7 linked regions of the Rattus norvegicus genome follow. The protein of the gene in region 1 purifies or fractionates together with the protein of each later gene. This does not show direct contact. Links are inferred from orthologs where the notes say so. Each region holds a gene or a part of one and is shown in the gene's direction. Other genes may lie near its edges. The genes, in order: Slc39a4, Agpat4, Vps45, Mgat1, Letmd1, Abcb10 and Lemd2.

What was found.
Region 2: the proteins of Slc39a4 (region 1) and Agpat4 purify together in Homo sapiens (affinity purification with mass spectrometry; 3 studies listed by BioGRID and IntAct, with this or other methods). This does not show direct contact. The link is inferred for Rattus norvegicus from reciprocal best matches to the Homo sapiens genes SLC39A4 and AGPAT4.
Region 3: the proteins of Slc39a4 (region 1) and Vps45 purify together in Homo sapiens (affinity purification with mass spectrometry; 3 studies listed by BioGRID and IntAct, counting the BioPlex papers as one, with this or other methods). This does not show direct contact. The link is inferred for Rattus norvegicus from reciprocal best matches to the Homo sapiens genes SLC39A4 and VPS45.
Region 4: the proteins of Slc39a4 (region 1) and Mgat1 purify together in Homo sapiens (affinity purification with mass spectrometry; 3 studies listed by BioGRID and IntAct, with this or other methods). This does not show direct contact. The link is inferred for Rattus norvegicus from reciprocal best matches to the Homo sapiens genes SLC39A4 and MGAT1.
Region 5: the proteins of Slc39a4 (region 1) and Letmd1 purify together in Homo sapiens (affinity purification with mass spectrometry; 3 studies listed by BioGRID and IntAct, counting the BioPlex papers as one, with this or other methods). This does not show direct contact. The link is inferred for Rattus norvegicus from reciprocal best matches to the Homo sapiens genes SLC39A4 and LETMD1.
Region 6: the proteins of Slc39a4 (region 1) and Abcb10 purify together in Homo sapiens (affinity purification with mass spectrometry; 3 studies listed by BioGRID and IntAct, counting the BioPlex papers as one, with this or other methods). This does not show direct contact. The link is inferred for Rattus norvegicus from reciprocal best matches to the Homo sapiens genes SLC39A4 and ABCB10.
Region 7: the proteins of Slc39a4 (region 1) and Lemd2 purify together in Homo sapiens (affinity purification with mass spectrometry; 3 studies listed by BioGRID and IntAct, counting the BioPlex papers as one, with this or other methods). This does not show direct contact. The link is inferred for Rattus norvegicus from reciprocal best matches to the Homo sapiens genes SLC39A4 and LEMD2.

The regions. Positions count from the first base shown.
Region 1 is NC_086025.1:110,215,403-110,219,575, reverse strand, and holds the start of Slc39a4 (zinc transporter ZIP4 precursor), read left to right. Parts: upstream 1-1,373; 5' UTR 1,374-1,465; coding exon 1,466-1,657; intron 1,658-2,069; coding exon 2,070-2,354; intron 2,355-2,786; coding exon 2,787-2,982; intron 2,983-3,082; coding exon 3,083-3,237; intron 3,238-3,325; coding exon 3,326-3,497; intron 3,498-3,750; coding exon 3,751-3,923; intron 3,924-4,032; coding exon 4,033-4,173. UniProt on the Homo sapiens protein: Selective transporter that mediates the uptake of Zn(2+). Plays an essential role for dietary zinc uptake from small intestine. The Zn(2+) uniporter activity is regulated by zinc availability.
Region 2 is NC_086019.1:51,083,472-51,086,971, reverse strand, and holds part of Agpat4 (1-acyl-sn-glycerol-3-phosphate acyltransferase delta), read left to right. Parts: intron 1-1,759; coding exon 1,760-1,921; intron 1,922-2,178; coding exon 2,179-2,332; intron 2,333-3,500. UniProt on the Homo sapiens protein: Converts 1-acyl-sn-glycerol-3-phosphate (lysophosphatidic acid or LPA) into 1,2-diacyl-sn-glycerol-3-phosphate (phosphatidic acid or PA) by incorporating an acyl moiety at the sn-2 position of the glycerol backbone.
Region 3 is NC_086020.1:186,291,678-186,295,177, reverse strand, and holds part of Vps45 (vacuolar protein sorting-associated protein 45), read left to right. Parts: intron 1-852; coding exon 853-921; intron 922-1,036; coding exon 1,037-1,174; intron 1,175-2,355; coding exon 2,356-2,466; intron 2,467-2,487; exon of another isoform or gene 2,488-3,500. UniProt on the Homo sapiens protein: May play a role in vesicle-mediated protein trafficking from the Golgi stack through the trans-Golgi network.
Region 4 is NC_086028.1:34,065,024-34,069,208, forward strand, and holds the start of Mgat1 (alpha-1,3-mannosyl-glycoprotein 2-beta-N-acetylglucosaminyltransferase), read left to right. Parts: upstream 1-1,385; 5' UTR 1,386-1,418; exon of another isoform or gene 1,419-4,185. UniProt on the Homo sapiens protein: Initiates complex N-linked carbohydrate formation. Essential for the conversion of high-mannose to hybrid and complex N-glycans.
Region 5 is NC_086025.1:133,461,676-133,465,956, forward strand, and holds the start of Letmd1 (LETM1 domain-containing protein 1), read left to right. Parts: upstream 1-1,481; 5' UTR 1,482-1,511; coding exon 1,512-1,633; intron 1,634-2,079; coding exon 2,080-2,231; intron 2,232-4,075; coding exon 4,076-4,191; intron 4,192-4,281. UniProt on the Homo sapiens protein: Plays an essential role for mitochondrial structure and function, as well as thermogenesis of brown adipocytes.
Region 6 is NC_086037.1:68,877,404-68,881,702, reverse strand, and holds the start of Abcb10 (ATP-binding cassette sub-family B member 10, mitochondrial), read left to right. Parts: upstream 1-1,499; 5' UTR 1,500-1,570; coding exon 1,571-1,982; intron 1,983-4,299.
Region 7 is NC_086038.1:5,295,350-5,299,632, reverse strand, and holds the start of Lemd2 (LEM domain-containing protein 2), read left to right. Parts: upstream 1-1,483; 5' UTR 1,484-1,503; coding exon 1,504-2,236; intron 2,237-4,283. UniProt on the Homo sapiens protein: Nuclear lamina-associated inner nuclear membrane protein that is involved in nuclear structure organization, maintenance of nuclear envelope (NE) integrity and NE reformation after mitosis.

The DNA.
Region 1 (4,173 bases):
GGTAAGGTCTCCCCTTTGAGGGAGAAGTCTAGGGAAGCCAGATCAATCAAGTCTATACTAAGACTTCTCCCTAGGGGATAAAACCAACCTGCTTTCAGCCCCCAGCAGCCCAGCAATGAAAAGGAATAGGAAGGGCAGTTTGGGTGGATGGCATCTTCAGAGTTACCTGTGGGGAATGCTCTCATGTTGGCTCTCCCAGTTCCCGGCCACAATTCCTCCACAAAAGCAGGAGGGATGCTGCATTGCAAGGACCCTAGCCATTATTAACATGGACGTGTGTATGTTTGGAACAGGTCTTTAGCAGTTGACCCCTGAGCTCAAGGATACTCAGCTAGATTCTTTCCCCACCCTGCCCTACCCTCCAGAATACTAGGTGACAGAGTTCTTTAGTTATTAGGCTCATATCCAACCACACCCCAGAGGGCTAGAGTTCAGGACTGGTATGAACCTGCGTGGAAGAGGTCCACAGTACCTCGGGGGCTACTGGAAGCCCTCTTCCAGAAGGCCAAAATGCCTCGTGGCTTCCAGAAAGCCAAAATGCCTTGTGACCTGGGGATCTTAAGCTCCTGGAAATTCCAACCCCTCCTTCAGCCTGCCACCTGGATAGAGATAAGGCTCAGGGGTCAAAGGCCGGAAGGATCCGTTGGGAAGGGTTGGGAAGGGGCACGGCTGGGAACTGCAGCCCTACCTCAGTCTTCTTGTGCTCAGGCTGAAGGGCTCAACCACAGGGCTTCAAATTCCTACTGCTCAATTGAAACTCCTCAAAGCCCCAAAAGTTGGCTAGGACCAAGGTCACATCTTTGCTTCCTGTTTGTCTAGGTCAGGGCTTCAGCCATTTCCTGGAGATTTTCCCCCGGAGGGCTGGGGACCATGACTCAGCAAGTATCTTTCAGAATCTCCCACTGTAGCCCATGTTGGACCCAGAGGAGCCAAGAACACGGCACCCCCACCCTCGGGCTACAAGACTTGGAATTTGTCTAAGCTGCTTGAGCTGAGAGGCAGCTGGTGAAGGGTGGAGGTAAGCCTAAGGGCTCTCCTGAAAATGTCAAATAGAACACCCTTGTTTGACTTGGTAACATCTATGCGCTCAAACCCCTAATCCGCAGCTCCAGAGGCAAGATAACAGAAGGGGATGATCCGGGCTCTTCAGGGAACAGAGAAAGCCCCGACTGGCGGTTCAGAGTGTGACAGGCTCAAGCCGCCCACCTAACGAAAGGGACCCACCTTTAGCTCCAGCCCCAGGAGGCTACAGCTCCTTGCCCCTAGACTTTCAGGGAGGATCTGCCACTGGAATGGCTAACCCAGCAGCCAATCACAGAGCCCTGCAGGAAATATCTGGGAGAGGTCTTGTAGCTAGGGTCAGGCGAGTTGAACCCAGCTCCAGTCTGGCCCCAGGCAGTCCCAGCAGTCTCCTGCTAGCCCAGAAGCCAGCACCACTGCAGGGAACACTTTGGGAGCGTGAGGCATGATGCTCCCAAAGTCGCTCACACAGGGGCTCTTGTTGGCGATGCTGGTGGGCACAGCAGCAATGGTCCAGCCCTATCACCTGCTCAGCCTACTCACCTCGGGCCAGGGTGCTCTGGATCGAACGGCACTGGACGGCCTGTTAAATACGCTGGTGGCCCGTGTGCACTGCACCGACGGGCCGTGTGAAAAGGTAACACCCCCACCCAATGGGTCCCCCAGCCCCGGCCCTTTCCTGCCTGCTCCACCCTGTGGCAGGCACTAAAGAGAGCTGGGCAAACTCCAGGAGGCGGGTCTGGAGGCTGGTGTCTGAACCTGCTGGCAGGCTGGAGCCTCCCTTCCGTTTCTGGGGGGCTTATACAGGCTTGGCCTCCCTCCTGGGACACGTAGTTCTCATTCCCCCCCAGGGTATCAAATTTGCCTTGACTCTAAGTGACTACTCTCACCTTCAGGATCAGAGAGTAACTGCTGGGGACCCCTTTGTGTAGGCTCCTAGTCAGGTTAACTGTACAAGCGGCAGAAGGGGACATAAGATAGAATCCATTCCCTGCCTAAGCCTGGTGGGCCCAATCTAGCCCGGACCCTGTCTACCTGTTTGTCCACAGTGTCTGTCTGTGGAGACTGCCTTGGCTCTAGGCAAACCTGATAAGCCACAGCTTGCCCCAGAATCAGTCCTGGAGTCCAGATACATTACTTACCTCAGTGCCGCCGCTGCCCTCTACCTCAACGACCCAGAGAAAACATGCAAGGACATCCGAGCTGGCCTCTTGGCCTCTCATGTGGACGATTACCTGGCCAAACTGGAGAGTCCAGAGGCCATGACCCTGGGTCTGAGCCAGCTACTGCAGAAGATTGAGGCCCATGATGCCAGCCAACCCACCAGGGAGGAGGTGAGGGCCCAGAGGGCTTTCAGAGTGTAGTGACAAGGACTGTGTAGTACCATGGAAGGGAGGCTACCCCAGGAAGAGAAATGTCCCACGTGCAACCTCATTGGTGTCTGTGGAGATACGTGGGTGGCTAAGTGTATTGGGTACACTGTTGGGTAGGATGACTTCCAAGGGAGTCTGGGGGAACCCTTTGGGGAAATGGCGGTCAGGAAGGCTCTGGGGCAGAGGGACGTCATAGGCCACAGTGAAGGGAGTGACTAGCTGGGGCAGCCTAGGTTTATGGGATAGGTGGCTGGTATAGGGATATAGTCTGAAGTCTTTGGTGAAATCTGGGAAGTTGTCTGAGGGGGTTGGGGGATTGATGGGAGACCCATCCAGTGAGTGGACTCCAGAAGTTGTTACTGAGGGTGGAGCTGAGGCCTGTCTCTCTTACAGACCTGTGTAGATGTTCCCCAACTGCTGGAGGAGGCTGAGGAAGCAGGGGTTTCCAGAAGCCCTGGCCTGGTCTTGACAGCCTTGCTGGATCACGTCCTTAATGGATCCTGCTTCCAAGGCCTGCCTAGCCCTCAGTACTTTGTGGACTTTGTGTTCAGGCAACTCAGTAGTAAGCCTCGCAATATCACGCTGCCCGGTGAGGCCTAGTCTGTGATCATCAGCCCCTACTCCTGGGGGAGGGGACAAGGCTGGCGCTGAACGCACTGACTGGACTGACTTTTTTTTTTTTTTGCCAGAATTGGAGGATTTGATGCATCACCTTGGGGTGGGTGGAGAGGATCACAGTGACCATGGTGACCATGTTGACCACAGTCATCTGGACAGGGAAGCCAACCACCAAGACTCTGAGCTCCATGCTACCCACAACAGCAGCTCCAGTGTATGGGACACGGTGAGTCACTCCTGCCGATCTGGAGGAAGGTGGGCTTCCATGGGTCTGCTCAGATGCCTGATGCCTGTCCTGCTCTCTTTGCCTCCAGCTGTGCCTGAGTGCCAAAGATGTAATGGCTGTGTATGGGCTATCTGAAGAGGCCGGGGTGAGCCCTCAGGCCTGGGCCCAACTGACCCCTGCCTTGGTCCAGCAGCAGCTAAGTGAAGCCTGCAGCTCCAGTCCCATTATCCATGTACAGGACCAGCTCAGTCAAGCAGAGAGTGAGTCCCTAACCCTGGGTGCTAGCCTCATGGTATTGAGCTCGACGAGGGAGCAGGGAGTAGGCACTGAGGAATGAGGAACCAGCAAAGGAGGGACAGATAGTGGATTTCAAGGCTAGAGGGCCAGTGTAAATAGATACCTGGCACCTGCTGACAGCCCACAGATCTGTTGAGATCCGGCTCACTTCCTGGCTGGACTTGGGCATTGGCTCTGTAGGATCTAGGGGGAATCTCAGTGTAGCTTCACCCACAGGGTATCTGTATGGCTCTCTGGCCACCCTGCTCATCTGCCTCTGCGCTGTGTTCGGTCTTCTGCTGCTGACCTGTGCCAAATGCAGCACAGCCACCCACTACATCATGCAGACCTTCCTAAGCTTGGCTGTGGGTGCACTCACAGGCGATGCTCTCCTGCACCTGATACCCAAGGTCAGCCCTCACTCAACAGGGTCCTCCCACCCCCACTGTCCTTTCCTAGCCCCAGCCTAAAGCCCCCTGTATCCCTGAAGTCCCCAGTCGGTACCCACCCCCTTCTCAGGTGCTGGGATTGCACACGCATAGTGGAGAGGTTCACTCCCACGAGGAGGAGAGCATTGGTGGACAGTCCACCTGGCGCCTGCTGGCTGTACTTGGAGGCTTCTACATTTTCTTCCTGTTTGAGAGCTTCTTCAACCTCTTA
Region 2 (3,500 bases), on another chromosome or scaffold:
GCAGTGTGGGTCATCCTGTAATTCCTGAGCCCGCCAAATGTAATTTTTGCAAGATCCGGTACATAGAACCTTAAAAAAAAAAACAAGTTTTAAGTTCCAGAAAAAAAGAGCTTAATTTGCCAGTGGAGGCTTTGTGTTTGGATCGGTTTGCTCTCATCGTCAAAGCTTTAAGTAGGAAGGTGACAGAAACCAAAGAAACTGAGGACCAGCAGGAATGTCCCTCCCTGTCACCCGGAGTCTGAAATCTAGTGTGGACACAGGACAGTAGGCTCCCGGGAGGACTATGAGCCCAAAGACTGCTTGGTTTCCAGGGCGAGAGGCACAAGAGCAAGATCATCTCCAGAGTGAGTCTGGCAGTTTGCCCCATGCTGGGTGTAGATGTAGGTGAGGCCTCCTCAGAAGTCTACCTCAGGGTCCCAAGCACGGTAGATATGATGACAGTATGGTCTTAGCCACAAGACACCAAGTGGAAGACAGCAAAAGGGGAGAGAAGGGAGGGGCGGTGTGAAACCTCTGCTCTTCCCCTCCAGGCAGCGAAGGCTCAGGACCTGGATAGACAGCTGCCTTCAAGTGTCTACACAGTCAGTGTGGGTGGGCATCCATCTCAAGAGTCAGAGATCGTCTCAGTCGATTACAAAGTGGAGGGTAAAAATCCGAATGGTGGCAGTGGTCAAGGCGCTGAGTGGGTAAAGGGCTTGCCATGCAAGTATGGGGACCTGAGTTTGAATCCCCCCAACTTCCGTACAGCTCAAGACACATAGTGTGAGTGAGTGTCTGCAATTCCACTGCTCCTACGGGGAGGTGAGCGGTGGAGACAGGAGAATCCCCAGATACTCGTGGGCCAGCTAACCTGGCTTATGCAGCCAAACAAACAACAAGGAGGCGCTGCCTCAAACAGTGCAGAAGACAAGGACTGATTGTCCTCTGGCCTCCACTTGTACCATGGTAGGTGTCAGCATTCACACACATGAATGTGCAACCCCCACTCGCATGCATGTGTGCATGCACACACACATACACACACACACAGAGAGAGAGAGAGAGAGAGAGAGAGAGAGAGAAAGAGAGAGAGAGAGAGAGAGAGAGAGAGAGAGAGAGAGAGAGAGAGAGAAAACAAACCCAGCAAGGTAAGAGTCATTTTGCATCCCCCTGACTTCTTGCCCCATTAGATTCTAAGTTCCCCACCCCACCCCTGGTGCCCACACAGTGCGGTCACAGGAGTTGCTGGGGACCAACCGCAGCTACCCCAACCTGAGGAGATTGGCTGCTTCCAGCCTCAGAAGTGAGTGGCAGAGATGAATAGGGAATCTATCCATTTGAGCCAAGTTGACTTCCCAGCTTCCCCTGCTTCCCATGGAACTGCTCAAACTCTGCTGGCCTCCACTCGCTAGCCTGCCAGTGCCGTGAGCCTTGCTGGCCTTGCCTGTATGAACTCGGTGGCTTTGCTGATGTGCTGGTCTGTGGCACGGCATTATACAGACCTGCCGGACAGAACCTCAGGATGGGCTTGGCAAACACACAGGTGTCGATAATCTGGAGGGCCGTGGTCCGTGAGGGTATCCTCACACCTCTGTGCGTGTTCACAGACCCTTGTCATGCAGCGGTCCACCCAGTGGTGGGCATGACCTTTCCTCAGGTCAGTGCAGTGGGAAAAAGGAAGGGCTCCAAGCCTTTGGTATGACTGGCCATTCCTTCCCCATGAGAGCTCCAACAGCTATGTCTCCTTCACAGACACCCTAAGGTTCTTCCTCTATTTCAGAACTCCAAAGTCCTGGCCAAGAAAGAACTGGCTTATGTCCCCATCATTGGCTGGATGTGGTACTTTGTGGAAATGATCTTCTGCACACGCAAGTGGGAGCAAGATCGGCAGACGGTTGCCAAGAGCCTGCTGCACCTCCGGGACTACCCAGAGAAGTATCTGGTATGTAGGCAAAGGAGCAGTGTGCTGTCTGGCTCCTGTGGCATCATGTGTGGCTACCACACATAGGAGTCACTTCGGACTGAGTGTGACCTGGAATTACATGAGACCTGAGGGATTTGTGGGGCACGAGGACACTATGGGGACTGACCTGGAGTCAAGTGTGACTATGAACATCTTTGGGACTGTGGCCTCCAGTTGAGCTTGGGGTTGCGTGACCGTGGAATCCCCCTGTGTGACCAGCATCCTTTGCTTTTCAGTTTCTGATCCACTGTGAGGGCACACGGTTCACAGAGAAGAAACACCAAATCAGCATGCAGGTAGCCCAAGCCAAGGGGCTGCCCAGCCTCAAGCATCACCTGCTGCCACGCACCAAGGGCTTTGCTATCACTGTGAAGTGCTTGCGAGATGTTGGTAAGGATGCTGGCTAAATGGGGGATCTTTGAAGCTAGGTGGAACCTGGGACGAGAGGCAGGGCACTTCATATTTCTAAATCCCAGTAAATACTCCCCTCTGCTGGTCAGTGGCAGCACTGCGCTGTGCGTGCAGAAAGTGCAGGATCCTTGGAGGACAGAAGATCGCCTGGTCATGGAGCTGCAATCTTTGAGGCCCTCTCTTGCTTATTTATTGCTGATAACCACCTGCAGATGATCTGATCTGTACAGACCCATGAGTCTGGAGCCTCAAGCCAGTGTAGCTACCAACAGAAGGCAGCGACTTCCCCCGTTTTCTTTTTACCCTTCCTCTTCAGTTAAAAACATATTTGTTTTCCTATGTAACCCCTTTCTCTCACATCCCTACTCCCTGGCCCTTCAGCTCCAAAGGAGGCTTGACGTCTTACCTGAGCTGGATAGGACTTGACACTGCTTCAAGTGTGAGGCACCACAGAGCCAGGCAGGCCTTCCTAGAACTTCATGTCCTAGACCTGCCAAGAGAACGCTTTGTCCTGAAGGAAAAAGTGGGCCAAGCAGGCCCTGCTGTATTGCCAGAGGCAGGTCAGGTGTGGCTTCTGGCTCCATGCTGCTAGCTTCTATAGCCTTGTCTTTATCTCTTGTGAGGGGGGATTTATCCAGGGCGCCAAGGATATCAACAGGTTAAATATCTTCTGGGACAGTTGCCCACCTTAGGCATCAATGCCCACCAATAACAGGGAAAGTGGTTGGGTCTTTAAGGACAATGCCTCTAGACACTTCTGCAAGCCAGCATGAGGACCCTCTCCCATAGGGAAAGATAGTGGACCTACAGACCTGTAGTGGGGTTAGGCATTAAGGAAAGAAATGGATGGCGATTTTATCACATTTGAATCCTTGTTCTTCATATTCCAAGTGATCCAGGGACGGTATACAATTTCTGTGATTTCCCCCACTACTTTTACTAACACTAACTGTAGACGTGTAAAGCTGCCCAGCTACGGTCAAGATCAGTGTTAGTGCAGTGGGCTCTGCCTGCACGTGTGACTGGCACCTGTCTCTTCAGCCCTGTGTGATGATGGCATCATAAGCCCACTCTCCAGAAGATCTAGGTTTGGAAGACTGCGTGATGCAGCTAAGCAAACTGCCCACTGCTGGGAAAAGGCGGCTGT
Region 3 (3,500 bases), on another chromosome or scaffold:
TGTGTGCACACCAGAACAGGCTTGTACTTAGGAAGTCTTGGAGTTCTAAATCGGATAGAAAGAGAAGTCATGGAGGCAGCAGGAGGGAGCAGAGGGGCTGATTCACTGGGGGACATTTTCACAGTTGGGGAAGAGTCAGTTTGTGCTCCTGTTAGTTCATGAGAGTTCCTGGGCCCTGCTTTAAACACCTTGGTCAGTAAGACTGCGCATGACTGGGAGAGAGAGAAGAGGGACCAGAGGCTGAAGGAGGGCTTCTAATGCTCTGTCTGAGAGACCTAGGATTCGGGAACTAATAACCAGCCTTGGGCACCAGGTAAAACTTGGAAACTCCTAGTCACTTATTTATATGCTATAGGATATGTAACATTAGCATTATACTCTTACTTTTCCTTCTTGAATAGTTCAGCGTTCTTGAATACACTTGTCATAATATTTGATATATTTATCACTTACATGAAAAGTACTGTCTTCTTAGGCAACAAATTAAGTAATTTTGAGTTTTCAAAAATGTTCTAGGTGATAGAACATATAAAAAGAGTGATTTCTTCTAAATCATATTCTCCCATACAAGGAAACACTTGGCATTTAATGTGGTGTATCCTACAGCAGTGTTTTGCTTTTTACTAATTGCAAGTTTACCTTGGTGTGTATACTTGAGCATTTGTCATTGCTGTATTTATAGTAGTGCAATTGCACCATACGACCGTTGCTACGCACTTACTTGAACATCTTGTACGTTATCGCCTTCCATGTTCCCATTCGGAGCTCATAGCACTCAGTATATCGGCGTCTATAGCCCTTGAGACAGCTGCAGCCCATGCACTGACCAATCTTGATGCTTTTCACTTGCAGGAATTTTATGGAGATTATATTGCTGTGAATCCACATTTGTTTTCCCTCAATATCTTGGGCTGCTGTCAGGTATGGAAGGCCAGGATTTTCAAAATAAGTTAATCAAGTGGAAATTAATTCAACAAGCAATGAGTTAAGAGGAAAAAGGTAAAATATTTTCTTTTAATATGTTTTTAACAAAAAGGGTCGAAATTGGGATCCAGCCCAGCTATCCAGAACCACTCAAGGGCTGACCGCTCTCCTTTTGTCTCTGAAGAAGTGTCCCATGATTCGTTATCAGCTTTCATCAGAGGCTGCAAAGAGACTGGGAGAGTGTGTTAAGGTACAGTAGTCCCTATTCCCGGTCCTAAACCCTCAATGTCTGTCATTTCCCTGTAATAGTTAAGCAAATAAAAGAGAGGAAGAAAAAAGGAAGGAAGCAAAAGAGGCAATATGTTAGTTTCATTGGCAAAGAAGTATGGCTATATAATTCAAAATAATAAAAAAAGAAGCAAATTAGCACCATTACCTATAGGTTTAATATTAAGAAATATTCACAGCTATTTAACTTTAGGGGCCCAACTGAATCACTTGTAAAGTAGGGTTGCAAGTCCTGACTTTTTCCCCCTTGGAAATAGCTAGGTTTCTTATTAATGTACCATTTATAGCATCAGATCCAACAGCCCCCTGCCCCAACAAGGAAGTTGAAAAACATTAACAGAAAGAGCATATGCTGGATAGGCTAGGGAGTCAGAATCCTATGATGCCATCCCTGCCATCCCTGACAGCCCTGCCGGCCCTGCAGGCCCTGCAGGCCCTGCTTTGGGACCCAGAAGAGAGTATGAGACGCTTCAAGGCTTCCAAAGCCTCGGGGAGTCCAGGGTCATTTTGGGAGGAGTCCTCAGGGTTCTGCTTTGCGGAACCTGATGGGTATGTTGTACCTTTCCCAATCCTTTTGCCTGAGGTACATTAAACTAATTCCTAGGCCAAGGTTTGACCTGTAGCTTCTGACAAACTGAGACGAAAAGTGCTTTCCCTTGACTCCAGCTCAGATGTGCTAGCCTTGGACAACTGCTTGAGCTCCATCTCACAACTTCGATATAGGAACCAAGTCCTAATGTCTCCTTTTGTCATTCCGAGTGAGTCAGACAAAGCCTCCAGAGCCTCCTCATTAGGGCTGGGGTCAGCCTTGAAGTGCTGTATTAGCTGCAGGAACAGCTCAAGGGTGAACCCAGAGCTGCTATATGTGGAAGACAGACTGGGATTTGTCTCCATCTTGTCTCTTCTCTCATGGCTGCTGCCGATTTGAGTGTCCTTGAGGCCCTAGTCTAGGATTTTAGCTAAAATCCCACTTCCATCAAGTCCCGACTTCTTAAATAGCATGCTACAAAACTCTATGAAGGTTTTGAATCCTTTTATGGGAGGCCCATGAGGGTGGGAAAAGTACTCCATGTGTGTCCGATTCTTGTCCTCTCTGCTTGCAGCCAACTGCTTACCCAGACCACTCTCTTCTCTCACCCTCAGCAAGTGATAAGTAAAGAGTATGAACTCTTTGAGTTCCGGCGGACAGAGGTTCCTCCACTGCTTCTCATTCTGGATCGCTGCGATGACGCCATCACCCCACTGCTCAACCAGGTGTGAGCCTTTGTTAGCAGGAAGAATGGGTAGGGGTGGCGCTCATTAACAAGCAACCATGGAAACCATCCATTCTTCCCCCTTGCTTTCAGCTATTCTTGGTTTTTGCCTTACATTCTCTGGTGTATTGGTGCCCATCTCTCCAGCCCCAGTCATTTGTGCTGGCTTCCACCTCTTTCCTCCTGTCCTTCCTGCTGCTGTCCCTCTCTCAGCAAGGCCACCTCAAAGCTCTGGACTCCACTTCCTAGGGTCTCCTTTTCTGGCCTTACTGCTCGAGCGTTGGTCTAACCCCAATCTCTTGCAGTAACAGTGAAACAGGCATCCATTCAGTTCCTTCTTTTGATTTTTCTTCAATCTGTATTCTACAAAACCAAGGTTGTTAATGACCACCCTCAGCTTACAACTCCTGGCCTAAAAACCTTTGTGTTCCCACTTACCCACTGGGTTAAAAACAGTCTCCTGATGTTGGTACCCAAGCACATTCGGGGTGTGTACCCAACTGCACAGAAAGCCAGAGCTTCCTGCTACAGAGTTCCTTGCCATTGTGCTTGTGGTGTGACTGCTGTCTAAGCACAGAGACCTCTGGGATGCCTTCTCTTCGCCACCTTACCTATCAAAACTGTTTTCTCTTGAAACCACTGAGAAACCTGGGAGCAGCTTTTTTTTTTTTTCTGGAGCTGAGGACCGAACCCAGGGCCTCACTTGCTAGGCAAGCGCTCTACCACTGAGCTAAATCCCCAACCCTGAGAGCAGCTTTTTAAAGACTGCTTCAACAGACAGGGTTTACTTTCTCCCTCAGGTTGTGGAGAATTTGTCTCTTATGCCACATGCTGAACTTGCCAAATTACATCTTTGGTTTTTTTGACCATCTTGGGTAACACTCCTAAGGTAGCCTGTGTCCCCTCATGCTCATTCTGCTGCAAGTTAAGCAGTTCCTTGTATGTAGCTCTGCCGTGTGGTGATTGTGGATTTAGAGGGGAAGCTCTCTTTCCGTGTCAGTTTCTCTCAGCACATAGTTATGGCAGTGCCAAGGG
Region 4 (4,185 bases), on another chromosome or scaffold:
GTGGGGCTTGCGGGCGGCTGGGACCCGGCCCCGGCCTGGATCTGGAGCCGGGAGGGCCGAGGCTCCCAGCCGGGACCGATGGGCGGGGCCCAGGTAAGGAGCCCCTGCAGTCTGCAGTAAGGGACTGAGTCCTAGCCGCAGCGGAAGGGAGGTTTCTGAGTATAGGGAGGGTCTCAGTGTCACCGTGCTGTAAGAACGCTGAGAGCTGAGCAGTGAGCGCGGGGTTCGGGAGGGAAGGGTGGGAGGAGTTAAGTTCGGGGGGGGGGGTGTCATGTGTCTGCCACGCCCCTACAGGAAGAGGGGTGTGTGTGTTTATGTGTGTGTGTGTTTGTGTGTGTGTGTGTGTTTATGTGTGTGTGTGTGTTTATGTGTGTGTGTTTGTGTGTGTGTGTGTACACACTCATAGGGGATGGGGCAACAGGGAGGGCTCTCAAACTGAGAAATTAGGGCTACTACAAGCAGGACACAGGCCTCCAATATTCCAGGAGAGTGCTCTCAGGAGTGGCCCTGTGAAGGAGTTTGAAAGAAACTGGGAATTACATCCTTGGCATAGTTTTGGAAACAGTGGGGGAGGTGAGGGTTGCAGAGAATGCCTGAGGCTAGGTCTGGGTAGGATTTAGTCCAGTTGACAGGAGGTAGGAGATTAAAACACTGAACTCCCAGAGGAGCTTGAGAGATAGGATTAGTAAGTGGTGTTTTAGAGAACAGTAGACCCTATTTTCTGTATTTTTTTTTTTTTAGAAGACAGTCTTCCCATACTGACAGTATTTTTGGTTAACATTTCTGTACTGAGAATAGGCATATCACAAACACATAAACACACATGCTCGAAATGCTGGGGATACAGTATATACTCTATATACAAATTGTGTGGAGTAGTTAGAGTTTGTTGACTGAACATGGTAAAGGAGTGTAGTAAATATGGAAGTCTTAGAAGTCCATTTGTGCATGTATTAGATTAGAGTGTCATACTGTTTAAATGTTCCGCAGGTTCACACAGAAATCAGCCGCCTGGGCCGTGTCGGTGTTAAAGCCTGTTTCTTCTGATCCCCAGCAGAACACAAGTGGACCAGTGGATGATTTTCTCTTGCCTCAGCAAGGGATGCCACAGTCCCTGGAATCTGTCAACCACTAGCCTCTGAGCTTTAAAAGCCAGCTGGATGAAGGGATGTAACGCGCACCTGGGAGGGACACTGAAGTCAGCCGTGGGGGGGGAGGGGCCCGGACACACCCCTTCCCCCCCAGACTCCTCCCCATCACGGTCCACACGGCCATGGACCTTGGACTTGGATAAGTGGAGAGAAGCTGTACTTTGGTGGATCTGATTCTCAGTTTTGGAAATGAAGTATTAGGCAGGGGGGTGGGAGGGGGGGTTGCGCGTTGATCTCCAGGGAAGCAACAGAGAGAAGAAAAGAAAGGTAAGTTTGTTACTGTCTCACTTAGCGCCTTGTTGCTGTGCAGGAAATGTGAATGGGAACGCAGCCATGTCGGAAGTCATGGCACCTCCTGTGTCCTGATGAGAACAAACCCTTATCCTGATGGTGCACAGGAAGCGGCACCCTACTTCACTCTTTCAGGGGGTGGCAGAGTCGTTCTTTCCCGTTCCTTACTGAGGCTCCAGAGAATAGCTGGTAAAGGATTGTGAGGTTAGGTCAAGGAGAGCCTGCAAGGAAATCAGGCTTCTGGAGGACTGTTGGATTAGTTACCTTTAAAAGCCTTTCCTCCAGTGAGATAATAGGATTTCAAATCCGTCTGGACTAAGGCTGAAGTGGATGACTCTGGCCGGTGCTGACTGCTCTGTTTTGGGAATCTGTTAACAGAATAAGACTTTCAAGGGAGGTGGAGAGGGGAGCTGGAGGATAGGAAATGGTTAGATAACTTACTAAATGATCTCGCTTCCTTCCTCCCCAGTAAGAAAGCTTAGGTCACGAAATCTCATGGAAAGAACAAAAAAACAGAGCTTGAGTTTGGGGAACAGTAAAATCCGTGGTCTAGCCCAGACGTTCCTGGTCAATGTGCAACTTGAGATATGATAATTATCTCTGTCCTGTTCTTTTCACACAAGAAGATATTTCAGTCAGGTTGCTACTAGGAACAAACGGAATAATTTTGCATTTTGAAAGTACCCTGGGCCTTGTACATATAAAACGGCAACATTGACTTTTCCTGGTTTCTTGTTTATTGTAACACATAGAAAAGCCCTGGATGAAAGTTCGTTCTTGTATTGACTGAACATGTTGGCTGGAGCCATAGCAGACATAACTGATGAAAGGAGACCGCCTGGCGATTGTTTCATCATGCTATATAAAGGTGGACAGGTTTAGGGAAACAAATTGAGGGATCCTGTGAGCTTTGGAGATAGACGTTTTAAGTATTTCTTGGAGTGGGTGCTGGACCTTTTCTCCCCTGTCATATCCCAGTCTGCTGTCAGGCAGTGACAACTGCCTCCAAACTGATATCTCTTGGGCTTTTATTTCTCTTTAGGTTGTTCATAACCCAAGCAAGTTTGTCCTTAGTCATCTAAGTACCCACCTGCTCCTTCCTTGAATGTTTTTTTTTTTTCTTTTAAAGTTTACTTATACTAAGGTGCCTGCTTTTCCTAGTGGTAAAGTCAACAGCGAAAGGCAAGGGACTGAGTAGGAATTTGAGGCAGCGTGTGTTGGCCAAGGCTAGCTAGACTCGTTGAGCCTTCAAGTCAATTACAGAGAGACGTCGAAGTCACCGATGACAATGACTGTTCTTCTTGTCATAGGAGTCCCTGTCTTTTCTCAGTGGCCTGAAGGCTGGGCTGTCTGCCCTGAGTAGGTCTTCTGGCTCCGAGCTTTCTCTTGTCTGGACAGACCAGGCTTCTACGCATGAATCGTAGTTGGATGTGTCACCCTCCCTTCTCCCTCAATAAATGCACAGTTGCCAATCTTTGCTTATGTAGGGGAATCGTGATTTCTTATGGCAATGCCTCCTTAGCCACCTGTAGGGTGTGATATGTTCTAGAAGACTTTCTTCATCCTACTGAGGAGACCCTCCTGGCCCACCGAGGTGTGTTACATTGATTGTGAGTATGCTATCCAAAGTGTCAGGTCTGTTATCTGCTTTCTGCCTTTAAGGAAGAGCATGTTTTTCTACTTTGGGGAGGAGCCGTGGAAGCCCTGAGCTGGAAGAGCTCACCTAAGGGGTATGGCATATGTTGATAGCATTTGTGCAGTTGAGGGCTGAGTTGACTTCACCATCAGCCTGCCAGGGAGAGAGAAACTAGGTGCCCTGACAGCCTCTCTGGTAAGTCCTCTCCTCTTTAACTTGAGCTAGAGTCTCTCACCTGCCAGAGCCTGGTGACTCTTCTGTCAGACATTTCTTTCAAACCTTCTCATGAGGTCACCAGAGTGCTAGGGTACCACACTCAAGTAGGTCAGGCTGTTAGCCAGGACTGGTGATAAATTTAATCACACATTGTATGGGGATTTTTAACTGGATTTATTTAGACCTTACTTTATTCTAAAAGGAAGCGCAGGTAGCTAATGAAGGGTTTCAGAGGCATTGCTCAGTGGTCTACTGTTAATAAGTTTGAGTTCCTTTCCGTATCACTGGTTTGGGACAGACATGTTAGGAGGAATGACAAAGGATACTAAAATGCTAGTTTAACACTTTGGTCTTGCTTCCTCTTATGCCTTTAAGCCAAGATCTCTTCAGACATTCAGAGCATGAATCCTTTCCAAACTGTAAACACTTTCAGGTATCTAAGTTGTAGTTTGTGAGGGGCGATTTCCTGGAAGTTTTTACTTTTTGGTGGTGGAACAGTAGGCAGGCAAGTATATGACGTCTTAATTCTCTGTTATCCTGTGACTTGATCTTCCTGTTTTTCCATTTGCACATAATCTGATCCCAGGCTCATCCCCAGCGTCCAGACACCCAGCTCCCATTTCTTACTTTCTTCCCCAGTGTAACCTCTGTAGAACCTGAGGTCTCAGTCCTGACATGTTCTTGTTACTTAGACCAAATGCTTTCTATTACTCCTGTGTAAAAACTTACCCAATCCCAATTCTATGCTGTACCCTTTTTGTCGGGGGGGGGGTAGCCTTTTTGCATTTGGGGATCATCTTGTGAGCCTTGGAATTTAAACAAAGGTCTGTAGAGATAGATGTGGTGGGGAGTTACTGTGTTCTGACCGGCTTCCTGTCTAACTGCTTTGGC
Region 5 (4,281 bases), about 23 Mb from region 1:
CTAGGAAGCGCAAGGCCCTGGGTTCAGTCCCCAGCTCCGAAAAAAAAGAACCAAAAAAAAAAAAAAAAAAAAAAAAAAAGAAAGAGGGTCCTTTCTCTCTCTCTTTTCCTTGCAGGGTGTTCCAGGCAAGCTGGCCTCTGAGATTCTCTCTCTTTTCCTTGCAGGGTGTTCCAGGCAAGCTGGCCTCTGAGATTCTGGAGATTTTCCTATTTCTACCTCCCATCTCCCCCATTGGAAGGCTGGGATTATAAATGTATACACTCAAGGATGGAGGTGAGGGACTTAGAAGCTACCTGAGAACGGAGAGAACCCATCTTTTGGTTACTGTCTTATGGTTTTACTGCTGTGAACAGACACCGTGTCCAAGGCAACTCTTATAAGGACAACATTTAATTGGGACTGGCTTACAGGTTCAGAGGTTCAGTTCATTAGCATCAAGGCAGGAGCAGGGCAGCATTCAGGCAGGCATGGTGCAGGAGGAGCTGAGAGTTCTACATCTTCATCTGAAGGCTGCTAGTGGAAGACTGACTTCCAGGCTGCTAGGGTGAGGGTCTTAAAGCCCACATCCACAGTGACACACTTGCTCCAACAGGGCCACACCTTCTAATAGTGCCACTCCCTGGGCTGAGCATATATAGCTCATAACAGTCACTCTTTATCCTACCTACCTCATCTACCCAGTACTTGCACTGTACAGCTTTGCATCTGTCAAAATCACCAGCCCTCCCAACATCGAGACATTCCACAGACCTGGAAGTCTTTGCAAACATTTCATCCTTGACTTTTCACCGAATTCTACAACCCAAGTACGTTCCACAGGAAGTACACTGAGGCGACAGGTCCAAGGTACCACGCACTAAACCTGGCTTCAGACACATGGTTTCAGTGTGCTTCGTGTCGGTTAAAAGGCCTACGGGCACGAGAGGGCCGTCAACTCTCGGCTGGACGCCTAGAAACCCTTCCAAGTAGGCATTATGTGACAAGGGCACATGAGACCCAGAGAGCGAGGGCTGAGGAAGAGAGGGGATGTGAAACATCCTTCTTGGGTTCCACACTGGCCTCCTGATTGACGGAGAGCGGAGGCTCGCTCCCGCTGCCGCTAGAGGGCGCTGCGCCTACCGCATCGCCGCCACTAGAGGGCGCTGCGCCTCCCGCGTCGCCGCTACCATCGGGGCCACCGCCCCGGGCACCCACAGAGGTCAAGGCAGCGCTTGCCCGTGGCCCCGAGGCCCCAGGGACCGACGAGGGCACTGGGTCTCTCAAGGAGACGCCGTCCTCGGCTCACCATCGCTACCTCAGGCCGGGTCCGCGCGTTCCCTCCGGGAGGCCCGCTTCCGGTCCTGCGGGCGGAAGCGTCGCTGCGTCCTATCCGGGTCCCGGCCTGGGCTCGCACCGGGGGCGCCGGGCGGCTCGTAGCCGCCTGTCAGCGCCGAGGGGCGGCGCGTGCGTGCTTCGGGGCGCACTCTGACCCGGAGACGACCTGTCTCCCCTCTCCCTCCCCGCCTGTGAAGATGGCGCTGTCCAGGGTGTGCTGGTCTCGGGCTGCTCTGTGGGGTTCGACCGTCGCCCCTGGACCCTTTGTCACCCGGAGGCTGCAGTTGGGCCGCTCTGGCCCTGCGTGGCGAGCCCCTCGGTGAGGGCCCTGGAGAGAGAAGAGCATTTTTGACGTAGAAGCCCTTCCAGCGGCTCAGCCTCCGCCTCTCGGGATCCCACGCCTTGGGCCCTGGGTTTTGCTTTTCCACGCTGGATCCCTACCGAACGCCGGTCCCCAACCCTCCCTATGCTCTGTGTCCTGAGATCTCCCCGCACATCCTGAGCTCATCCATCAGCTTCCCCTCCCCATCTCTGCATGGCCTCAGCTCGCATTCCCCTGTCCCCGCAGGTTGTGCGCGCACTCCACGCTCACCCCTCTGTTCACGGCTTTTCTGCACGATCTGCCTTTGGTCTCAGACCAAAGGGCTTGAGTTTCCAGAAGGGTCGAGTTCCGCCCACGGGAACTCGTGTTGTTTTATAGTAGGGGCCCCAGGCACGAAGTGGCTTCTACTAGTTCGCAGATCGTCTCTTTGGTCTTCCTTGTAGGTCTTCAAAGCTTCACCTTTCTCCAAAGGCGGACGTGAAGAACTTGATTTCTTACGTGGTGACCAAGACGAGGGCGATTAACGGAACGTACCACCGTTTCTTGGGGCGTCACTTCCCCCGCTTCTATGCCTTGTACACAACCTTCATAAAAGGTAAACGCTAACATCGAAATCCCCGAATCCGCTCTCCTGGCAGCGTTAGTTACAGTCAGTGGATGTGCGGGGTCCACTGCAGCGCTGTGAATTGGGAGGCCTTCTCTTCCTCCAGCGTTTGAGCAGTAATTCTTACAAATTGTCATGGCCACCTCTTAAGTATCTAGAAGGATGTTATTAGGGTAGACAGGTCACCTCTTATCTGACATCACAGGAGAGAGCAGAGGAGATATATTCTAATTTCCTTAGAAATTCCTTGTCCTGCACAAGAGCAGGGGACTGTTATCATAAGAAAACCAGATGTAAATGCTTCTCTTTAAACTTCAGCTTTTTAACACCAGGGCGTCACAGTCAATTAACCCCACATGTTCCCCAACCAGATATTAACTTGCTGCTTCCTGGGGCAGTTTAGGTAACTTGTAGTGGAAATAGAATTATATACACATGGTTTCCGGGTGTTTCAGTTCAAAGCGGAGGTCCGCCAGCTAGGTTGAAGGGATGTGAAGTAATGTCACATGACCCTGGAACCAAGATGCCTGACTCAAATCCCCATTTGTGATTTAGACTGTGCACTGGTGGTGGTGACTTACATGGTCTGTCCCTTTGGTTTCTCATCTATAAAGAAGCAATAGAAGCTGCCTACTGATTACCTGTTTATGACTATTACTTAGTTGTCTAGAAAGAGTGTAGCCCAGGCTGGCCTGAGGCTTTCTGAGTCATTGATGACCTTGAACTAACGGTCTCCCTGCCTCCATGTTCTGAGTGCTGGGATTACCATGCTGAGGCCCCACACCTAATGGCAGAGATTAAACCCCCACATTTAAAATGCTTGGAACATGGCCTGACCTATTTTAGTATGGCAAGCTCTACACTAAGTGCCCAGAAAGTGTTAACTGTTACTATTGTATTCTATACTTTTACCCACTAATTAAAACAATAGACTGTTGCCAACTTTGAGTGTTACTGTAATTAGTTAGCTTCCTGGTTACTTTGTCTGAAAAGTGGAGGTAGGAATGGCTGCCTTGCCAGCTATGGTGGTTCTGTGTCTCCAGCCCCACAACCCAGCAACCCAAGGCAGGAGGAGCGGGAGTTCTAGGCCAGCTTCAGCTACGTAGCAAGATCCTGTAGAAACAAAAACAATAAACCCCCAGAAAAAAATATTTAATGGCCACCAATCATATATACGCATACATGCCCTGTATTATTTGAAGCCAATCTAGGTAATATTTCGCTCATAAACCTGGGAGCATTAAAGGTGATTTTATTCATTTTATTTGTGTGACTGCATGTATACATGTGTATATGCCTTAGTGCTCTCTGAGTCAGAAAGTGCTAGATGCCCCGGAACATGAGTTCTGGATGGTTGTGAACCACCCACCATGTGGGTACTGGGGAACTGAACCCAGGTCCTCTGCAAGAGCAGTAAATGTTTTAAACCTCTGAGCCATCTCTCTAGCTCTGGAAGCATTTAAAAAAAAAATAACTAGATAAATATAAGGATTATCATAGATTGAAGATTCAGAATGGAATCATAGCCGTATGTCAAATTATGCAAATTATAAACACTCCCCAGGAAGCAGCAAGTTAATATCTGTCTGGGGAATACATAGGGTTAGTTGACCATGCTGCCCCTGTGTTAGGGAGCTAGACTTTAAAACCAAGCATGAGTAAGGAACTCTTCCACAGCAGATCATAATTCAGCTGGGTGATGTGTCGGGGAAGGGATCGGGAGCTTCCTTGTTGGTAGTGCCGGGGAGGGGCTGGTGTGTGTGCATGTGCGTGACCACAGTAGGAGATTCAAACCGGGATAACACCACGTTCTGTCCTCCACTTTAATGGGGCAGGAATACAGATGTTATGGGCTGATGCCAAAAAGGCTAGAAGAATAAAGGCAGACATGTGGAAACAAAATCTAAAGTTTCATCAACTCTCTTACCGGGAGATGGAGCATTTGAGACAGGTACGGGCCAGGGACAAACACCCAGAAGCTCTGGGCGAGGTAACTAACCTGGAGCTCAACTCTGCTTCTTTCTCTTCCTGTCGATCAGTG
Region 6 (4,299 bases), on another chromosome or scaffold:
CCGCAGGGTCTTTTTTTTTTTTTTTTTTTTCTTTTCTTTTAGACATTGTTTCACTATGTAACCCTGGCTGTCCTGAAACTCACTCTGTAGAGCAGGCTGGCTCAAACTCAGTTCACCCTGCGACTCCCCGGGGTTAGAATTCCTGCAGTAATGGGAAGAAAACTCAAGTCTTCTTGGGTCTCGGGGCTGCATTGTAAAGGACTTCCCACTGCTCCAACCTGTTCTCGTGGTGATGCTCACCTCTCCACCTCGGAACTTGACATGCAGGTGAGGCCCTTGTCTGAGTGTGAAAACATACAAAGATGCTGAAGTCTCAGGATCCAGACAAATATGGAAAATTCTTATATTCTTATTATTTTTGAGACTTTGTTTTTTAATGTAGTCCTGGCTATCCTGGGACTCTCTATGTAGACTAGGCTGGGCTGAAATTCAAAGAGTTCCATTCTACCTGCCTCTCCTTCCTGGGTGCTTGGATTAAAGGGGTGCTCAATGTCTGGGCCAAACATGGGGAATTTTCTAAGAGAGGAAAACAAAACAAAATAAAAAACATAAACTACAACTGCTTACTGGTTGGTTTTGTTTTTTCTTGTCTCTTTTTTTTCTGAACTTAAGTGACCCGGTACTCATGAAGTGAAGGCTGTATTACCCTCCCACTTCCTATTTTAATAAATGACTTTTCCAGGGTTGGGACTGGGGTAAAAAGAGGAAGAATCCTGCAAATTCGGAGACTTATGCGTTTGAAAGTCTGATGTTTTGTTCCTTAAGAGTTTTTTCCATTCGTGCTGGGTTTCAGGAATATATTGAACTAAAATACTGATTGATGTTGAGGTTGTTTTGCGACTCTCCCTTTCCCCTTTTTTAAAGACAGGGGCTCACTATGCAGCCCACGCTGGCCTCGAACTCAGAGATCTCCTGTCTCTGCTTCTCAAGTGCTGTGATTAAAAGCGTGTGCCCGGCTGAACTCCAGTGGCTCCATTGCATTTCGTTCTGGTCGAGCGAACTATCTAGGAGTCCACAAACTCTCCCCCTTCCTCACTCCAGGCCTCCATAGGATACCCACGGCCCGCCGTGCTGCTCGAGGGGCCACTTCTACTCTCCCGGCCTCTGCAGCAGCTCCTACATTGCACAGTCCTATAAAAAGCCTTGGTCTCCTTGGTCCGCCGACCGTATCCAAGGCAGAGGTACCCAAAGGTCTCAAGCGCGGTCCATAATCTGCGACCAGAGTGCCGCGCGTGCGCACTTCGGCAGTGGCCGGCGACAGAAAGGGCTCGGACGCTCCCAGGTTCACAAGCCGCGGAGGGCGCAGGAGCGCGAAAAAGCTTCCGCGTGCGGCTCGCGGGCGCAGGCGCTGGCGACTGCAGCCTAGACAAGGCATTGCTGGGGAGCTACCGGCTGGTCGCCGCCCAGGGGTGGACCCTGCGAGGCGGAAGGCGCGGCCCGGGCGCCCGCCCGATGGGGCAGGAGGGGCGGGCCGCTGCTGCGTCCCCGCCCCGTGCTCGGGCCGGGCCGGGAGGGTCCCGGGTCCTGCGGCCCGGCCGGCTGGTGAGACTGTCGGGGCAGACGCAGCGCCATGCGCGCCCCTCCTGCCAGGGCGCTGCTGCTGTTTCCGCGCCGGGGCCCTGCTGTGCGAGCTTGGGCCCCGGCCGTCTCCTCTCGGACATGGTTGGCTTCTGAGTGGACTCCGCTCGTACGCGCGTGGACCTCTCTGATCCACGAGCCGAGCCCGGGCCTCCGCTTTCCCGTGCCCCTTTCGGGGCTGCCTGGCGGCGTGGGACGGTGGGCCACCTCCTCGGGGATCCGCAGGTGTTGGGTGCTGGCAGGACCCCGCGCCGCGCATCCCCTGTTCGCCAGGCTCCAGGGAGCAGCGGCCACCGGTGTGCGAGACCTTGGGAACGACTCGCAGCGGCGGCCCGCGACGACCGGGCGCTCAGAAGTGTGGAAGCTCCTGGGGTTGGTGCGCCCGGAGCGCGGGAGACTGTCAGGTAGGAACCCTGGGGGAGACCAGTGGGCGGCCGGTGGGCCCCGGCCTGGGCTCGGCCTTGACAAGGGCGATCAGGTCTGCTGACACCTGTTGGAAGGCTATGGATGCCTTTTCCCAGCTGGCTGACGCTCTCCATCTGTAGAGCCTGTTACCAGAATATTAAAATTGTTGTCAGCGACTGCTTTGGTGCATTCTCTGAATAAGCTAGCGTTTCCTCCTTTAAGGAAAAAAACACCACAAGTTTTGACAAAACCCATGCCTACTTTATATTATACATTTAAAATGATGATGATGATGATGATGATGAAAATAATAATAATAAAAACATCGCTTGGAGGGTTGGGGATTTAGCTCAGTGGTAGAGCGCTTGCCTAGCATAACAACAACAACAACAACAACAACAATAATAATAATAATAATAATAATAATAATAATAACATCGCTAGGAGGGTTGGGGATTTAGCTCAGTGGTAGAGCGCTTGCCTAGCAAGCGCAAGGCCCTGGGTTCAGTCCCCAGGTCCGAAAAAAAAGAAAAGAAAAACAAACAAACAAACAAAAAAAAACCAAAAAAAAAATCGCTAGGGTTACACAGTATCAAGGCAACCACCAAAAATTAACAGGATGAAGTTGAGCACTGTGAACTTCGTGCTGGCTGTCACCTCCCTAAATGGCTTGGTCAGGACCAGGCATTAGCCACGGCATAAAGAAACTAGACAGAAACTCACCCGGATCGACAAATGGCTTTTAAAAAGAAATCAGAATTGATTGGGTCTAAATGACAGTATTCTGTAACTCCCCCATGTCTGGCAGCCAATGCAAGCAAGACTGGTTGGAGCAAAGGCACACTGAGACCCAGATCCCTAAATCTCCAGTCCTTTCATGAATGTGGATTGTGCCCGCCTCCTGTGGGATTACCTTGAGAAGCTGGCATGGAGTCCTGCTCCTGCTGGGAATCCCTGCTTAGCAGGCAGGGAAACCGTTTGGATGCGAGATGAAATGGGATAGGCATGAGGGTATTGCAAAAGGAAAGACGTTGTCATACAACTCTTGAAACAGGCAGGACCTCAGGTTGGTTGTTGAGCCCCTATCTGCACAAATTACCCTCTTTGGGGGCCATTGGGCATGGAGCAAGGGCACAGGGGATCTGCCATCTACGAGAGTCAGGAGGTTGTTGTGACCTTACTATAAGAAGACAGAATTTACGATGGTTGTGAATTTCGATGGAAAAAGTCCTTTTCTTCTCGACTATCTTGTAAGCTTTTTTCCTCTGTGTTTTCTTTAATTTCTTTAAATGAATTATTTGCTTTCATTAGATGAGCACTTGTTTTGTTTTAGTTTATTATGTGTGCTGATGTTTTGTCTGCCTGCATGTGTGTCTGATCCCCTGGGACTGGAGTTACAGTTATGAGCTGCTATGTGAGTAGCAGGAATTGAACCCTAAACCCTGAACCCTGGATTCTCTGGAAGAGTGGTCAGTGCTCTTAATCACTGAATTACTGAGACAGGTGTAATATAATCCAGGCTGGCCTCAAACTCACTATGTAGCTGAGGGCGTCCTTGAACTCCTGATCCTCTTGTCCATCTCTCGAGTGCTGGAATTATAAGTGTGAGCCACCAAACCCAGGTTTAAAAGATATCCAACGGTGGGGGGCAGGCGTGAGGGGGAACATGGAGGAGCAGACAGTGTGCACGGAGGAGCCTGGAGACCCTGGTCACCTGAGTGTGTGCAGACTGTGAGGGGCTGAGGCAGGAACCTAGGCTCCTGCTTCTGAAACTTCAGATCTCAAAGTTGTGGGGAGTCAGGCTTTGCTGATGCCACCTAGCCCTTCCCTATCTGCCTGTGCCTGTCATGTCTATGACCTGTCACCTGGCCCCACTTGTCCTGCCCTGCCAGCATACCGTGGAGTCTGCATTAAGTTAAGTTAGAACTGGAACCGGCTTCCATCATCTGAGCCACCAGTCTACCTCACTGAGCTGTCAGGTGTGTGACCTGAGGGACAGACACATTGCCACTGACAGTCAGGGTTTTGTTTCTGAGTCAGGGTCTTGCCATTAGTCCAGATGGTTCTCCAGCTTGAGATCTCAAGTGCTGGGACGTCTTAAGGCTTCCTAAGTAGGTAACACATATATTCTGCCTTCAGGAAGACTGAAGGAGCGCTCTCTAGACAGCTTTTACGTTCTTCAGAGGCCACGGTAAAGGCGGTCTGGTCGTTGGCGCTGCTGGAAGTAAGAGGAAGTGGCGGTGCCGTTAATTTGTAATAGATCATGCCAAGGGTTGGCACATTTCTGAAGTGCTGGGGGGACAGAGCTGTTGAGTA
Region 7 (4,283 bases), on another chromosome or scaffold:
GCTAACGACAGAAGGCAACAGAGCTGAGGCTGTAATTTTCCCAGCTGTGTGGCCGGCACTGAATACTCCTGGGGTTTAACAAGCGCAAAACCATGAAACTCTGACAGAGGAGCAAGGCCCAGGTCTAGGGGAAGGCAGGGAGGAAGGTGAGGGAGAGTGCAGGGAGATCTCGAGGAGGTGGCTGGGAAGAGAATGAGGGAGAGCTGGAGCCACTATATTGCTAGGAAAAGGAAGGTGATGAAGGATGTGGAAGGAACAGGAAGGGGAAGAGAGTGAGGGCAAGGCTGTGAACTGTGTTTGTTTCCAGTTGTCACCACTTTCTCTGACCCTTCGTTAACCAAATCACTGCCCCCACCCCCAAAGCTCCCAACACTGCACAGATTTGGCCGAGGGAGGAGGCTGTTCCAGACCCTGTCCTGAAGGTCTCTTCTAATCCTCACAGCAGCCCTCTAAGGGAGATATGGGAAGTCGGCTAGAAATGTTAATTGGAAATTATCACACTGAATGGTTGCAGGTTGGAAATCAAACGGCGAGACTCTGCAGACCATCCTCTAAACCGTTGTACTGACTATAGGTCTTCCCGATCCCATCTCCCATGAGAATTCCACCAGGTACCACAATGCCTCCTTTTACCAGGCTCATCCACCCACAGGAACCTAGGGAACAGTTATCTGCCGCTAGGAGTCCAGAGTATAGGAATCCGCCCACGGGAGTTCTGGGCTTGGGGATATTTGGGTCACCTGTGATCACTGTGGATCAATCTGTCCCAGAGCTGCACTTTAAAACTATATATATTTACTTTTCTTTTATGCATGAGTGTTTTACGCACATGCATGTGCACCAGCCACTTAGGTACTGGTGCCCAAACCTAGTTCCGGTCCAAGTGCTCCTAAGTGCAGCGCCATCTCTCCAGTCCCAAGGGTGCACACTCTTGATGTTTCATTGTTCACCAACTGCGTGCCTGAGGCTGGTCTGAAGCGGTCAACCTAAGGCCTCCGAGAACATGCCAGACGGACTCTGCACCACCCAAATCTCACACACAGCCCCCCACGCCCATCCGGAGACCCGCAAATGGGCTGGATCTCTACTATTGGCGGAAGTTTTCTTACACCGTCGGGCAGCTCATCCATTAAGTAAATCAACATTTTATTGAATGTCTACCACGTGCTAGCACTGCGTTAGGATAAGCACTGCTAGATCTAACAGACAAAGGTAAACTAGAGGGCGGGGGGGAGAGATGAAAGCACCCGCGAGCGCACAGACACCGGTAAAAAGGTAACCAACCCAACCCTTTGGACCTCACCAACATGGCGGCTCCAGGCCGACACAGACATTTTTCATCATGGCGGACAGACCCTTCAGGCGCCGCCCTTCCCAATATGGCGTCCAGTGTTGACCTTCCCATCATGGCGCGCGGCCCCGCCCGCTCCGCCGCGGCTGCCGGCGGGAGCAGTTCCGGGTGCGGTGCGCGCCGGGGGCGGGCGAGGGGGCGGTGTCCTGGCCATGGCCGGCCTGTCGGACCTGGAGTTGCGGCGGGAGCTGCAGGCCCTGGGCTTCCAGCCAGGCCCCATCACCGACACCACTCGCAACGTCTACCGCAACAAGCTGCGCCGCCTGCGGGGCGAGGCCCGGCTGCGTGACGACGAGCGGCCGCGGGAGGAGGCCCGGCCGCGGGGCCCGGAGCGTCAGCGGGAGGAGGCCCGGCTACGCGAGGAAGCGCCGCTGCGCGCGCGGCCCGCCGCGGCCGTCCCGCGGTCGGAGCCCTGGCTGTCCCCGCCAGCCCCGAGCGCGGCTTCCGACACCCCGGGGCCTTACGGCAACTTCGGGGCCTCCGCCGCTCCCTGGGCCGTGAGCCGGGGCCTCTCCTACCCGACCCACACCGGGCCCGGGCCGCTGCGGCGCCGCGCCTCGGTCCGGGGCAGCTCCGAGGACGACGAGGATGCGCGGACGCCCGACAGGGCCGCCCCGGGCCGGGCCCGCCACTGGTGGGTCGCGTCGTCCGCCTCGGCGCGGCCGCACTCCGCGCTCCTCGGCGCCGACACGCGTCCCGGCCTTAAGGGTCAGCGCACGGGCTCCGCGGGCGTGGTGCGGGCCCGACCCGAGGCGGGCCGGCGGCTGGAGCGCTGCCTGTCTCGGCTCCTGCTCTGGGCCAGCCTGGGGCTGCTGCTCGTCTTCCTGGCCATCCTCTGGGTGAAGATGGGCAAGCCCTCGGCGCCACAGGAGGCGGAGGACAACAGTACGTCCCGGGCCGGCGCAGGGGAGGGCCCCGGGCACGGGTGTTCGCCCCCCGCCCCAGACCACCGAGTCCCCGTCGCGCCTTGTGAGCCACGACCGTCTTCTCACCTCCAGACCCTCACTTTCCGTCTCCACTTTCTGCTCTTTTCTGTTTTCCCCAGTCTTTCTATAGAGTCTCCCTTTCAGCCACTGCAGGGAGCAGGTTCTTCATGGCCTCTGGGGAGGAAGCTCCACGCCCACTCAGACAGCCCACCCCTCTTGTCTTCCTCCCTTTTGACTTCTTGCTCGTTCACACTTGAGAGACCCTCTGAAGGCTCCAGATTACCCCCCCCCCCCCAGATTCTGGGAATGCCTGCTCTTGTGGTCCCAGCTTTGTAGCACCAACACTGGCTCATTTGTCAAAAGGAGTATGGGCCTGCCTGTGGCACAGGCGTGGGAGAATTCCTTTAAGCTTAAACTGGTACCACTGGGGTGCTTATGGGGCTGACAGCACCCTCGGGCTGTTCTGGGAGAGGACCTCAGGCAACTTACTAGACATCTCTGCCCACACTCAGATGACTCTGCATCCCTTGAGTGCCTCCTGAACAGCTGAGGACTGGTGTCTCCCAAGAAGGATTTTTGCCTCTTACTCTTGGTTCTAACAAAAGAAGAAAAACACTTCATTTTTATGAAAGTCCATCCCCCTGGCATAAGAGACTATAGTTAGGGTCCGTCTCCCATACGTCAGGCAAGCATGTTGCCACCAAGCTACAGTCGCTCGCTAGCTGACTTTTGAAAACTACTTTGAAGCAGGGCCTCCCTAAATTACCTAGGCTAACCTCAAACTCACTCTAGTTCAGGATGACTCCAAACTATGATCTTGCCCTACCTTCCCCCAAGCCGGAATTATAGAGCAGAATCGTCAGACCCCGATCGATCGTTTTGATACAAATATAGGTATAAAATGACAGCTCGTTTTATTTTTGAAGCGTGCCCGTGGTTAACACTGTTGCTAGCCTCGAGTCAGGGTCATATCTTCCCCCACTGAGGAGTAGCTGAAATACCGGGCCAAGCTCAGCCGTTGTCTTAGGTGTTGTGAGGAATGGAGGTCTGGGCGTGTGCGAGTCTGTTCTGCTCCATGGCTGGAGCTGTTAGCCACCCTGGGAATAGTTTCCGGGTCTGCTAGAGGCTAACAGAGGTGAGTGCTGGCAGTGCTCAGGGGATGTCGTATAGCGTTGGGTGCTGCTGTCTGCTTACGATGTAAGACCATCTAGAGTTCCCTCCTGTGATAGCATTCATTCTTACTTGACATACCGTCGTTCACAGCTCGTAAAATTTTTCTGTATCTTGTCTTGTTTGAACCTAACTCCCCAGTTAAGCAACAAAAGCCGCTGGCTGGCTGGCTGGCTGGCTGGCTGGCTTCCTTCCTTCCTTCCTTCCTTCCTTCCTTCCTTCCTTCCTTCCATCCATCCATCCATCCATCCATCCATCCATCCTTTCTTTGTTTTTGTACTTGTTTTATGTGTATGGGTGTCTTGCCTAATGTGCATCTGCACCACCTGCATGCAGTACCCATGGAGACCAGGAGAGGGCGATGGTGACTCCAGAAATGGAGTTTCTGGCGGTTGTAAGCAGCCGTGTAGATGCTGGGATTCAAACTCAGGCCTCCTGCAAGAACAGCTGAGCCACCTTCAGCCCTTGTTTTGTTTCTTGAGACAGCATCCTCTCTGTACCTCAGGCCAGCCTCAGACTCGTGGCAGTCCTCCTGTGTTAACCTCCTGAGTGCTGGCCTTACAGCTGTACATAGGAAGACCCATGCAATTCCATTTTCAGGACCAGAAACAGAGGTTAAGTTACCCAGGAATCGGTGGCTGCTGGAAAGGCCCTAATTACCAGTGTCCTGACCCAGCATGAGGAACCCTTGGGTCTTGGAGCCTGCACTGTACTGGCCACTGACAGATGGATCTTCCGGTCTCTACCTTTGTGCCAGCCAAGTTTTGCTTCCCCTGGGTCTTGAGAGGTCTCTCTGTTACCCAGTCCCACTTTTAACCTTTCTCTTTCTTTTCTTG